2 linked regions of the Astyanax mexicanus genome follow. The protein of the gene in region 1 interacts with the protein of each later gene in a biochemical or structural test. Links are inferred from orthologs where the notes say so. Each region holds a gene or a part of one and is shown in the gene's direction. Other genes may lie near its edges.

Region 1 (7,312 bases):
GTCAGTAGCAGAGGGAAGCATGAAGTGCTGTAAGATTTTGTGAGAAAACAAAACTGCACTGACTTTAGACTTGATAATAAAACACAGTGGATCAACACCAGCAGATGACATGTCTCTCCAAACCATCACTGATTGGTGGAAACTTCACACTAGACCTCGAGCAGTTTGGACTGTGTGTCTCTCCACTCTTCCTCCAGACTCTGCTCCCTTGATTTATAAATGAAATGTAAAATTTACTGATGATCAGTGATGGTTTGTTTGGAGACACATGTCATCTGCTGGTGTTGATCCACTGTGTTTTATTATCAAGTCTAAAGTCAGTGCAGTTTTGTTTTCCCACAAAATCTTACAGCACTTTTATGGAGATGTGGATTTCATTTTCCAGCAGGACTTGGCACACTGCCCACATTGCCAAAAGTACCGGTTGGTTTTGTATTATATTCTAATTTTCTGAGACAATAACAATACAATAATCAGACTGATTTTTGGGTTTTTATTGGCTGAAAGCCATAATCAACAATAAAATAAATAAACATTTAAAATAGATCACTCTGGGTGTAATACATCTATAAAGTATTGTATATGAGTTTCGCATTTTGAACTGAATTACTGAGATAAAGTAACTTTTCAATGATATTCTATTTTTTTTAAGATGCACATTGTTGCTGTCATACATTCCTAATGATTCAATTCTTACTAATTGTTTCAAATTGTAATGATCAATAGACTGAAGATATAGACTGCATTATATAATTTTGCATTTCATTGTTATTATTCAAAATAAAATAAAAAAACAATATATTGAGTATACACCAAGTATTCACATATGCATGTCACAGTAATTAATGATATTGACAAATGGGTTTTTATTTTAGGGCTTTAGGAATGGGTGGCACCAGAGGAAGGATCTATATTAAACATGCAGACCTCTTTAAGGTATTTTGGCTCTCTTTGCTTTGTGGCCCAGTTGCTTCTTCACTGTTTATTTTAGTGACTGTTTTAAATGTGTGTGTGTGTGTTTCAGTATGCTGCTGATGCTCAGGACAAACACTGGCTTGCAGAGCGACAGCATATGAGAGCCACAGGTGGAAAGATGGTAGGTCATAAAACATTGATATAGTTGTTATATGATATCATCAGAAATTAAGACATATATTGTGTTACCTAAGTATTTAAAGCTATCTGCTCGCCTACATGAAGTTTGGAGGTGTGTAGTGATGAACTCTGAAGCTACATGAAGTTTGGAGGTGTGTAGTGATGAACTCTGAAGCTACATGAAGTTTGGAGGTGTGTAGTGATGTAGTGACTGTTATTTAACACTGAAGCACAGAGTCGCTGCCGTTCTCAGTCTCTTTCACTGTGTTATAATAATATCACTGACAGTTGGCTGTGGAGTATTTAGTAGTGAGTAGTGAAATTTCACTACTGGACTTGGTACACAGGTTCTGCATCCTATCATGGCACCACAGTGCTGGAGTTTACTGAGCTCCTGAGAGCCTGAGACCCATTCTTTCACTAATGTTTGTAGAAGCAGTCCCAGCATTCCTAGCTGCTGCTTTTATTATTATACACCTGTGATCATGGATGTGACTGGATTATTCATTATTTTTCAATACATCATGATAATAATAAAATAATACATTTTAAATAACAATTATATCAGTTTCTGTGATTTGCATTTTTCAGGCGTATCTTCTTATTGAAGAGGACATCAAAGAGCTTGCATCAAGTGATGAATACAAGTAAGTAACGTTAATTATCAGCACCAGTCTGGTTTCATGATTAAACTGACTAAATTACAGATACAGCTTTTTAGTTCTGAAGTACAGTAGTGAAGTAAAAATAATACTCCAGTAGATACAGATACAAGTACATAAGTACAGTATTTACATATTTACATTTTACTAATATAAAGTATAAAAATGTATATTAAACCATATCTAAATATCACTTACAGAGTAAATGTTTGTAGCCAATTTCGACTCACAAGTATAATAGGAGCTTGGTCTTCCTGAACTACACTTAAAGTGTGGAAATATGCAGAGACAATAAGACTGTAATCATATCTAATCTTCTCCTGAATTATTAGAGACTGCCCTGAGTTAAAGCTGGAGGAACTGAAGCCGTTTGCTGTGCCTCCGTGGATGTTGGAGAAGATGCAAAAGGCAATGGAGGCTCAGAGATCTGAGAAGGATGTTTAAGAGACATATTTCTTACTGTCATAAAACAGATAATGAACCTTCTAAACCCCAATAAACATGACTGGACCACACATAGTTTGGTATCCCAGAGAACCACAACATAGATTGCATTATTTTTAGTTTTCGTTCTTGTTGTTGACTTGCCTTATAGTCAAGCTTAGAAATTAGTTGTTTACCTTCATGCTGGAGAAGTGCAAACCAACATATTTTTACTGATTTTATTTTGATAAACCAGTATTTATAGAGATTGTTAGGCTCTGCTTTGTCTTTTTATTATTTTCTTTTTTTTTTAATCGGCAGAATGAGTTTTTCTTATGTAATTTTCTTTTTCTTTTTTTAATTCAGAAATTATCTTGTGATTTGGTTTTTACTTGAACTGCTTGTCTTTGTTCTGGCTGACATTTATTTTATGTTACATATGTAAAAAAAAAAATTGAGTTTTATTAAAAATAATTTTTCTTCATGTGTAATTCAAAGAAATATTCTAGCCTCGCCTATATTTTAGGAAACTGCATGCGGTTCACATGTCTTTTTTAATGCATTGTTTTACAGTAGGCAAAATATAAACTACTGTATCTTATTGTTACTTATTTTGTCTAAAAAATAAAAAAGAGAAATAAATAAAGCTGTTACAGTTATCATGAAAATAACATGTATTTTATTAGTTTCTCACCAAGAAATAAACCTGCATTGAAAAGAGGAATCCACCATCCTCTGGTCATTACTGAATACAACAGATAACAGACAAAAAAGTATTAAAACCTGCAAATGGCTTAGAATCAAACATGTTAGCTCTTAATATTGTCTTGCGTAGTTAATAGAGGTCATAGTTAAACTGACATATTGTATCTATGAAGATTAAATAACGTGGGATCACGTTATGCTAATGTTTCAATATTCCCTGCAATTTATACCAATTTTTAGGGACTGATTGTTTGCCAGAAGTACCGGGGACAATTCCCAGTGGCCTGTATGTGGGCTGCTATAATAGTTCAAACAAAACATGATTAATGTATTATCTAGTATTGAATTGTGCATTGGCCCTCATAACCCAGGGGCATGACAATTCGCAGGGTTTCCCCACAGGGCTTTATAGTTAGGCCAGTCGCCTTGACAAGAATTGCCCCCGCTTTGACAACTTCCCCTCAGCATCGCAATGAGGCCAAATAGTGCCATTTGTTGGTTAATGATGACACGACTCTATAAACCATCACCGACCATCATTTTGGCTTTTCTTTTGGAAATCAAGGGTCCAAAGTCTAGAGGAAGAGTGGAGAGACACACAGTTCAAACTGCTTGAGGTCTAGTGTGAAGTTTCCACCAATCAGTGATGGTTTGGAGAGACATGTCTCCCTCTGCTGACAACTATTACGGAGATGTGGATTTCATTTTCCAGCAAGATTTGGCACACTGTTCACACTGCCAAAAGAACCATTTGGTCTACTTTTCTGAGATACTGGTTTTTGAGTTTTCATTAGCTGTAGGCCATAATCAATAACAATAAAAGAAATAAGTGCTTAACTTTTCTCAAAATGAAGACATCACTTTAGTTTCTGAACCAGTTTCTCTGATTTTGCTATTTATAGGTATATATTTGAGTAAAATGAACATAATAGTGAACAATAGTGAAATAACAAAAAAGACACAGAACTGTCAGACCTCAGATAATGCAAAGAAAACAAGTTTATATTAATAAAGTTTTAAGAATTCAAAAATCAATATTTGGTGGAATAACCCTGCTTTTTATTTCACAGTTTTCATGTATCTTGGCTTGGTTTCCTCCACCAGTCTTACACACTACTTTTGAATAAAAGTTCAAGCAGTTCAGGTTGGTTTGATGGCTTGTGATCATCCATCTTCCTCTTGACTATATTCAAGAGATTTACAATTTAGTAAAATATTTTTTTCCCCTTTATTTATATATAAATGCTGTGGAGATAGGAAGAGGGTAGGTTGTCCATATAAACTAGCTCTGTCTGTACTGCATTCAACGGTCGCGAGCCACGCCCCATGCCGGCGCGACGTCCAATCAAATCGAAGAAAATCGTGAAGCGCGTTTTTCAATGGTTGCTAGGACAGACTTTTGTTTTGAGCGCTGGCTCCTGATTGGCTGAGCGGCTGGGCGGAGCGCCGGAGCGGTTGGGTGAGAGTCAGTTTAAACAGGGGGGCGGGATAAAGATTTAAAAATCTCACTGTGGAGTTTTACTGACTGTTAGAGACGGGACTGGACGCAGCCGGTAATAACTAGCCTAAATACGCACTGAATTTTACTATTTTGTGGCTTTTATTGTGAAATAATAATGAAGCTTGATTTGTATATCGATAGGTTATCGATTTAACAATTAATTTGAGCGATTTGGTTGGATATAGAGTGTGGGATGGCTTTAAATTTGCTGTGTTTTAGGAAGCTAACTTAGCTAGCCTAGCTTAGCTAGCGTTAACTAACTACAACTGCTCTTTTAGCTAGCGTTAGATTAATATATCATGCTTTAAACATGTTAACCTAAGACTTAAGTATCTATAGTAAACCTAGTTAACAAGTTTGTTGGATGTTAGTAACGTTAACGCTATTTATTTCGTTATGTTTTGGACGTGTGCTGCGTTTAGCTGTGCTAAGCTAGCGGTTTCTAACATAGCAACGGTTTGGTCGCACTGCAGTGTTTTAATGGCGTTGCTTTGCTTGTGTGGCTAATAAGCTATTTAACTGAAATGTCACGATTTAGCTAATCATTTTAAACGTTTGGTTGAGGCTAAAAATGGTTAGATTTTAGATTAAATACGTATTGTTAACGGTAACTCTATCTAACCCAGGGCTCTGGCTTGTCCTGAGCTAGATTAGGTTAACGTTAATTCAACTTGAGTTTAAAAAAAGGGAGAAGCTAAAGAAATGATGATATTCTTACGTAGGGTGGGTTAGTTAGGTTAAAATATTAGCCATGTATGTTTAATAGATAATAAAAACGAACATGTAAAAGATCTGCACTATGTAAGTTAATGTTATCTCTCTCTCTCTTTTCATTGTGATGTGCTTAGTAGCTGGCTAACCTAGTTTAAGAGGTGTAACATATGTAATAATCTGTTATAATGGATATTGTTAATGTTATGAACACACTGCTGAATGACACTCAATCCATAACCAAGTCATGTCGATTCTCAGGTTTTAAGCAATGGCCTCCCAAAATCTGGATCCTGCGGCAGCCTCCTCCACAGCTGCTCTGAAAGGAAATGAATCTGGCGGAAATGTTCCCAAAGGCTCAGTTTCAAAAAGGTACGCAGTGACTTTCCGTCCTCACTTCCAGAACCAGTGGTGATGCACTGATGGCAATTCTAGGCCGATACTGGTTTTACAGGAACACGCACGTTTTGTTTTATTGTTTTATTTGAATCCTCATTAGCTGCTATCACCATAACAGCTATTCATCTTGAGGTCAACTGCACATGGCATATTCTGCAGAATCTGTGTCTTTTCTGGACCCAGGAAATTAACATTACATGTATAAATGTGCACATAGTAATACATTTCATTAAAAATCATAGTGTCTTGTACATTAACCTAATCACAACAGTTAGTTGTGTAATCTTTTTTGGAAAACTGAAAAAATATATAATTTGTTACCTGTCCCTACTCTGTAACTATAAACTTTAACTATGAAGTATAATTATTAAAATCCTTCAAAATCCCTTACGTGTTTTGCATTGTTGTGAGACTCCAAATCCCATCTATGCTTAAAAAAATATTTCTATAGTTTTGTGTTAAAATACAAATTTTAGTGCCATTTTCAACATCTATCACTTGCGTAGAGGTTACACATGCTGGCCTAACTTTAGAAACAAATGTAATGTTTATTTGCCTTACAGTTTAGCTTTGAACCAACTGTATGCAAACAAAAAAAATAAAAGATTTCTCCTAAAACGTTTCCAACATTTTTGCTAACTGGTTCTTACATTTTCATAAAAAGTTGAATTCTCTTTAAAACTAGTATCATAACTTGATAGTCATGGTAGAAGTTGACAGATAATTATCATGACTTTCATCGCATTACAAGTCCATGGGGGCGTAATAGTATGCAATGCAACAGTAAAGATTTATTTTTATTAATTGTATGTGTCCATTCTTATTTGTTCATTTTGAAATTTTAAAGCTTCAACTTCTAGTCCCTTAATTTTAGATGCTTTGAGTTCTGATACTACTAGTATACACTACACAGAAATATGCTATTACTATATGCTGAATAGAGTTTTAAAAAGAAAAAAGGGGCCTGTTTATGTATATAAATATGTAGCATAGGTCAATAGCTAAGCTCCACATCCTGTTCAGTGCACAGTATCGTGTTGGATACGCACAGATGCACATTTTGCAAACTGCACTTTATACCTCCAATTTGCCTTCTTGCCACATCCTTGTCCTGAATTGCATGTAAAGCTGTGCACTGAGTTTTTAAACCTTTAAGAAATATATATTTATTTTTGTCTTTCATTATTTTTTCCAACACCATGTACTGATAATCTTGATTTACTTCATAATAAATACCTACACATTACTGATTGCTGTTTTTGGTCTCTGTATGTTTCTAGACTTCAAAATGAGCTGATGACTTTAATGGTGAGTGTTACATTTTTACATTTTTACATTTTTTCATAGTAACATTTTTACTCTTTAATGCTTGAGTATACATTAGGGCTGGGCAATATAAAATTGTAGCATAACGTGAGAAATGTGGTGGTGTAATCAGTAGGGGTGTGCCATATCGTATCACACACACACTTTCACACAAAAAAAAAACAATGACACAAATAAAAAAGATAAATACATTTAAAAAATCTGTGTTTTTCAAATAGCCAAGAACATTGTAATTGAAAAAGTACCATGAAATATTGTGGTGGTTTTTATTAGCATATCGCCCACCCCTAGTAATCTGTGATGCACATCTGTGTAACTGGTGTATTTCTTCATTGCTTAAAAGCACACAGACCTACAGCATGTTTTGAAGTCCTGTTAAATTGAAAGAAATTCATCACATTGTGGATGACATTTCTATTTAATTAACTCAATCTGCCACTATACATTTTGTCCTGTAATACTAAGTACTGAAAAAATGTATTTAAGTATT
Region 2 (7,103 bases), on another chromosome or scaffold:
TAAGTTCTGTAACAGAAAACTGAGAGGGATTTTTTTTTTACCTCAGACATCCAGGTTTTGAAGGCAAACTCATCTGCAGGACAAACAGAGACTGCATGTTTATTATACAACGTTACACTGCATTAAATAATAAAAGTTTTTCACTGGACCTGACTCTCTTGTTAAATATCCAGCTCAGACCAGCTGTCATCTAGAAAATATAAATATATAAATACTATGCTGTTAGACTAGCTCGTTAGGTTAACTATATGGTATATGTGTTTTGTCTGGTTCTTGAGCTGTATTTTTAGCAGGGTCTGTAGAAGAGAAGAAAACAAAAGCAGAAACGAAACTAAAGTCTGTATGTTGTTAAACTGGCCTCTCTCTTGATTTAAAGTTGATAACTGGACTCCTACCTTCCTCAGTTAAAATAGGAGAAGCGCAGACGCAGTAAAGAACCGCCAGGCAGGCGGTCGCTGTTATTAAAGCCGCTGTTTTCATGACTGAGTCGGGTCCGCTCCTCCAGCAGCTCTGAGCGCCGGAGCAGAGCACAGCCAACCCGATGGAGGCGCTGCTGAAACTCCCCCACCCCGCCCCCCGGGCCCAGATAGCAACAGTATGCTGCCAAATGTTGTCTATGTCGCACGTCGAAATTCGAAGTCAGACCAACGTTGGTCTGTTGTTGGCAGTATTTTTTAGAACGCTGGATAAAGGAGCTGGATAAAGGAGCGGAGATCGGCGTCAAAATGCCAACGTTTTACCAACGTCAGCTCCACGTTGGTCTTTAGCTTATTACCAAACAGCCCAAATTCTCACACACGAATATTGGAGCATGGCTGGAACATGGCAATTGTGCGTGCGCTCGCGCGTTCACGGGAAACAAACAAAAACCCACAGACAGACACATAGGGCACAGAACACAAACACACACACACACACACACACACACAGCAGCCACGGTCCAGTCGTGCTCCAAAACTGGTGCGCGCATTTGTTTGGGTAGATGTGGATAGGTGTGTACAGAACGCTACACCTTACACTGGGTAGCGACTTGAACCCTAGTTTGGGCACAACCTACAAACCAACGTGGAGCTGACATTGAAAAAACGTTGGCATTTTGACGACGATCTCGAAATTCAGTTTTTTTTAATAAGAGACCACTTCAGTTACTAAACCATTTTCTTGGATTTTGCTATTCATAGGATTTATAGGTTTATGTTTGAGTAAAATTAACATTGTTGTTTTATTCTATAAACAACGGACAACATTTCTCCCAAATTCCAAATAAAAGTTCAGAAATTAGTATTTGGTGGAATAACCCTGATTTTTATTCACAGTTTTCATGCATCTTTACGGAGCCCGGGAGGGGCCGTGGATAAAAAAAACAATTAAATCGAGTGAACGATGTAGCAGTTCGTGCTCACGTTTTCTTTAATTCGAGTGAACGATTTGCAATTCGTGCTCACGATTTCTTTAATTCGTGCTCACGATTTCTGTAATTCGTGCGCACGATTTCTGTAATTCGAGTGAACGATTTCTGTAATTCGTGCTCACGTTTTTATGCGCAATAAGACAAGAAGCTCGGAGGGAAAGGAGCATTTTCTCTCTTGATCTGTTACAGGGGTGCAGTAATGATAATCAGTTATCTACCTTTATAACCTGCTGTTATTAATGCACTAGTGTTACAGTTAGATGTACAGTACAGTGAGCAGATTTTGCCTGGTGGTGGAATCTCTACAGCGCGTGGGGGAGAGCCGTCCGCGGCATCGGTTCCCCCGCCGCCAGACACCTGCCGCGCGCGCAGGTCTTCACGGAGCTTATTTACCAACAATGTAGACAAATACAGTCAATTCCAGTCATGATTAAAGGAAACAAACATTACTAATGCAGGATAACTGTGTGTTATTAAAACCAGATCAAAACAAAGTTATAATGCAATGTGGAACTGTTTATAATTTCTTATTTTCAACAATAGTATAACGTAAAGAAGTATAATTATATAAATATACAGCTATAAGACTTAGGTCCAAATGTACACTGTAAAAGTTAATAAAGATAATACAAAATTAATGCAAGGTGTGACAGTTGTCTATGAATGGCTCATATAAGAGCTGCTTTAAATATGTAACACTATATAAAATCAAAATAGCTGGTCTAAAATACTATTAATACAATGTATTAAGATATTTAGTAAATAGGCATTTCATATAATAATTTGGATCAATTTGATAATTTATTCCAATATGTTTCCTAAAATAATTAAGTTTCTATATCTGATGAAATGTCCTGAATATCTGCTTATTCTCAAATCAGTGTCCTGCCCAGAAACATGCCACAAGCTTCAAATAAAAAAAATATAATAATTATAAACTTCTTAAATGTATATTTTCTGAATTATGTGTTTATTTATTATACAAATTATTAAAATATAGATTAAATCTATCATAAAAGTAATAATGATGTAACCAGATTTAAGAAGGTGTGCATTTCCTTGGAGGCTGGCTGAATGTTATTTAGAAATTAATAAACACATTTGCACATTGCATTATAACTTTGTTTTGATCTGGTTTTAATAACACACAGTTGTCCTGCATCAGTAAAATGTTTGTTTCCTTTATTCATGACTGGAATTGACTGTATTTGTCTACATTGTTGGTAAATAAGCTCCGTGAAGACCTGCGCGCGCGGCAGGTGTCTGGCGGCTTGGGGAACCGATGCCGCGGACGGCTCTCCCCCACGCGCTGTAGAGATTCCACCACCAGGCAAAATCTGCTCACTGTACTGTACATCTAACTGTAACACTAGTGCATTAATAACAGCAGGTTATAAAGGTAGATAACTGATTATCATTACTGCACCCCTGTAACAGATCAAGAGAGAAAATGCTCCTTTCCCTCCGAGCTTCTTGTCTTATTGCGCATAAAAACGTGAGCACGATTTACAGAAATCGTTCACTCGAATTACAGAAATCGTGCGCACGAATTACAGAAATCGTGAGCACGAATTAAAGAAATCGTGAGCACGAATTGCAAATCGTTCACTCGAATTAAAGAAAACGTGAGCACGAACTGCTACATCGTTCACTCGATTTTATTATTTTTTTTATCCACGGCCCCTCCCGGGCTCCGTACATCTTGGCTTGTTTTCCTTCACCAGTCTTACACACTGCTTTTGGATAACTTCATGCCACTCCAGCTGCAGAAATTCAAGGAGTTCAGCTTGGTTTGATGCCTTGTGATCATCCATCTTCCTCATCTTTTTACTTCTACTCTTTATATTTTCACATAAATAAATATATTAAATAAATATATATAAATATATTTTCACGTAAAATAAATATAATATAATATATATATATATATATATATATATATATATATATATATATATATATATATATATATATATATATATATATTTACATTTTTTTCTTCTTATTAAGTAAACTGATATTTCATTGGTTTAAGATACTAATTATTATTATTAATTTTTTTAAATACTATCTTATTATTTTGAGTTACTATTTTATTATTTTGAGATACTATCTCATTATTTTGAGGTACTCTCATTATTTTAACATAGTAAGTCAATTTTTGAAATACTAATTTATTATTTTGAGATACTATCATTATTTTGATATAGTAAATCATCATTATGAGATACCAATTTAATGTTTTTCTTAAATGTTTTTCTTATATTTCAGTTTTGTTTTTATTTTATTTTATTAATTCGTTGAATTATAATTTCTTATAACTACTTATTAAAACCGTGTTTTAGTTGTTGCCTCAGAGCAACATTATGCAGTTAGATCACTTTTGTTAGGACTTATGTGCAAGCACTGGTGTTTTTTTTTTTTTACCTTACAAATAAAACTAAATTTTATATGTTTATATATTTAATTAACGCTGAGAGGTGTGTTTGGGCTGTTAGGGGTTAATTACTACATTAATTGTTTATTTCAGCCCCTCGCTGTAGTTCTCTCTGTTTTCCCCCTTTAGCTGTGGATCACTGTGGTAATTTATCGCTGCTCGCTGATCCGGGATCAGCCCCGGTGCTCTGCGGCAGTGCTGGTCAGGCCGGGCTGGGTCTGAGCCGCTGATCCTGGGTCAGTGTTAGCGTTAGCGGGGCGGCCGGACGCTCTGCTGGAGTCGGCCATTTTGTAGCTGCCCTTTTCTGCCATGGCGGAGATGGATGACGGAGACGAGCCGGTTTTGGTGCACTCGATCAGCGGCTCCTCCGGGTCCGGCTCTGGGTCCAGCTCCAGATCAGCTGGGGACAAGATGTTCTCTCTAAAGAAGTGGAATGCGGTGGCCATGTGGAGTTGGGACGTGGAGTGCGATACCTGCGCCATCTGCCGGGTCCAGGTCATGGGTAGGTGCTGCTGTGGGGCGGCTAGCTGCTCGGCTAACCAGCTAATTAGCCAGCTAACCAGCTAAAGAGCTAACTAACCAAATAACTGAACAACCCCCCGAGCTCAGCCAACGTTACCTAATCCAGCTCAGCACCTGACATCGGTATTAATGCTAACCTGCTGAATCCGCCAGCTGGCAGCCCTTTCGACTCTGGTATGATGGAGCTGGATGAGCTAGCTGTAGCTATATTTATGTGGGCGGATTATGTGCAGCTATCTGCTGTTGCCAAAAGATCCTATCTCACAGAGAATATTAGCTAGCTAGCTAAATAGCTAAACAGTTAAGAGCAGTCTGTATCTGAAAGCTGGATAGTTTATTAATCCGTTTACAGGCCTTGTCTCGTATACGGGCTACAGGTGTAACATTAGGTGATACAAACCCTTTTTTGTCTGCATTAAAATTACTTATTTACATTCTGTAAATTTAAGGGCTTTAAAATCTACAGGTCACTTGGAGAAGCTGCCTGTTCACTCTCTACTCCACTTAATAATTTCAGTTCAGTAACAGGAATCAACCCAGACTCTGTATGTTTGAAAATAGACGTAAAACTAGACAAACATAACAAAACTAAAGGTTTCAGAAAAATATTGATTTTAAAATGAATTCAGGAAAGAGCTAATTTTATGATTTTTTTTTTTCATTATATTTTGACATTAGCAGATTAACGTTTTTTAAAATATATTTTCTGTTACAATTATGCGTTTCAGTAATGTTCCTTATCGAATATGAAACCTTTTTATGTAGAAATCTATTCAATCTGTTATTCAATGGTCAGGACCACCACAGAGCATCTCAGCACTGCAGTGACACTGACTGGCATAGTGGTGGTGTATGATGTGCTGGTGTGTGTTGTGCTGGTACAAGAATATCAGAGAGTACAACACCTTTTTAAACACATCAGTGTTTTTGCTGGACTGAGAATAGATAGTTCACCAACAACATGAAATATCCAGACAACAGTGTCCTGTGGGCAGTGTCCTGTGCTCACTGATGTAGGACTAGAGAATGAACAGCACAGACTTGGCAGCAACAGATTCAGGGTTTCTGTTTCTGACTTTGCTTTATCTACAAAGTGTAGGAGCAACTGTTGTTTAGGGTGTCTAATAGAGAGGACAGTGCGACTCGCACCGTGTTTAAAAACTCCAGCAGCACTGCTATGTCTGTGTCTGGCCCCCTCGTACCCCTTGTACCAGACACTAACACAAATTGCAAACTGGGCAGCAACAGATTCAAAGCATCTTTTTCTGACTTTATTCCATCTACATGTTGGGAGTGTTAAAGGCTGCCTTCACACTTTTCATGTTTGGTGCAGACCTTTGACTATTCAGTTTGGTCCAAACCAAAATAGCAGGTTTTGGGCCAACCAAAAGACCTGCTCTCAGTGTGGATTAGCTAAATTATCGTTTAATTAGTTTGCAGTGTAAAACACTTGTTTTTTTATGGTTCGGTTGCAGTTAACTGTGGCAGGCAATAATGACCCGTTAAACACTAGATGCAGCATCACCATACCAGTGTGACTGCAGTGCTGAGAATGACGCACCACCCACTCTGTGGTGGTTCTGTAGGGTCTTGACCATTGGTAGAACAGAGCGAAGTGGAGCTGATTGGATGGATAATAGGTGAAGGAACAAGGCGGTGGATTTAATAAAGTGGCCGTGGACAATATGATTGCCTTATGGGAACATACTGAGGAGTTCTATCTTGAGCCTCTTACCATATAGTCATTCTTGTTGTAGGTGTGTGTGGTATGTGTTTGGAAGCATTTTGCTGGGTAGCGATATAAATGTTTTTATAAAATAGTTATTAATACTTGTGTAATATTAATGAAACCTGTCTGTCTGTCTTTCTGTCTTGTAGATGCGTGTCTGAGGTGCCAGGCAGAAAATAAACAAGAGGACTGTGTTGGTAAGTAAAGCAGACAGTCAGTTGAGAGGTGCACACAGTTACAGCAGGCCACAGATGGCAGCAGTTGACTAATATTTTAGCTCCTGTGTATTCATGACCAACATGCTGACCTGCAGTTATGACTCAGCATCTGTGGTTGTTGCTGTTTACACTGACCTGCAGCGATTTGAGTAATGTAATCAACCCTAGTTTGTGTGTGTCCTTCAGTCAGTTTGATTTTATTCAGGTCGTTTGGATCACTTGGTCTGGATAAAAGGTGATATTCAAACATTACCTTGTTTTACGTTTGGTTCCTGTTTGTAGTTTTCACACTGATATTTAAGACCAAACTTAAATATATACACAAAGGAGATATGGGTTAAACAATCACATTTTATTGGGCTGATTAATGATATGATGTCACAATAGCTGCAATAAAATGTCAAATGCTTTCCAAAACATGTACTCTGGCCTTGAAAATGAGTCAGACCAACATTTAGAACCCCTAATCGAAATAATCTGGCTCATTTTGGTCATATTTTTTTGTTTTGTTTTTGACTTTTAGTCCTCCAAGTTGGGTCAGATATTGTAAAGCACCTTTTTCTTTAGGATTCAATATAATTTGCCCACCCCTTCTCTGACCCCAACTTCATAAAACCAAATGATTGGCAGCACTGCTTTCTAAAAATGTGAGATAATAATAATCATATATGTTTTCTCACTTATTGTGATGGTTGGGCTGCACCGAGTCCCAGAGACATAATCGCCCTAATTTTGTTTTTATGCAGAAAAAATGTGCAGAATTCATTGCACGGCTGGAATCTGGAA

The links. The genes of interacting proteins can lie anywhere in the genome.
Region 2: the proteins of ube2c (region 1) and rnf7 form a complex in vitro, tested with the Homo sapiens proteins (4 studies listed by BioGRID). The link is inferred for Astyanax mexicanus from reciprocal best matches to the Homo sapiens genes UBE2C and RNF7.

What each region holds. Positions count from the first base shown.
Region 1 is NC_064412.1:6,312,967-6,320,278, reverse strand, and holds the start of ube2c (ubiquitin-conjugating enzyme E2 C), read left to right. Parts: upstream 1-4,309; 5' UTR 4,310-4,438; intron 4,439-5,358; 5' UTR 5,359-5,368; coding exon 5,369-5,469; intron 5,470-6,776; coding exon 6,777-6,804; intron 6,805-7,312. Other genes in the region: deoxynucleotidyltransferase terminal-interacting protein 1, read left to right, coding at 876-936, 1,025-1,096, 1,687-1,742, 2,090-2,201. UniProt on the Homo sapiens protein: Accepts ubiquitin from the E1 complex and catalyzes its covalent attachment to other proteins. In vitro catalyzes 'Lys-11'- and 'Lys-48'-linked polyubiquitination.
Region 2 is NC_064416.1:32,163,544-32,170,646, reverse strand, and holds the start of rnf7 (RING-box protein 2), read left to right. Parts: upstream 1-4,098; 5' UTR 4,099-4,157; coding exon 4,158-4,350; intron 4,351-6,248; coding exon 6,249-6,296; intron 6,297-7,103. Other genes in the region: pro-cathepsin H, read right to left, coding at 42-73, 396-480. UniProt on the Homo sapiens protein: Catalytic component of multiple cullin-5-RING E3 ubiquitin-protein ligase complexes (ECS complexes), which mediate the ubiquitination and subsequent proteasomal degradation of target proteins.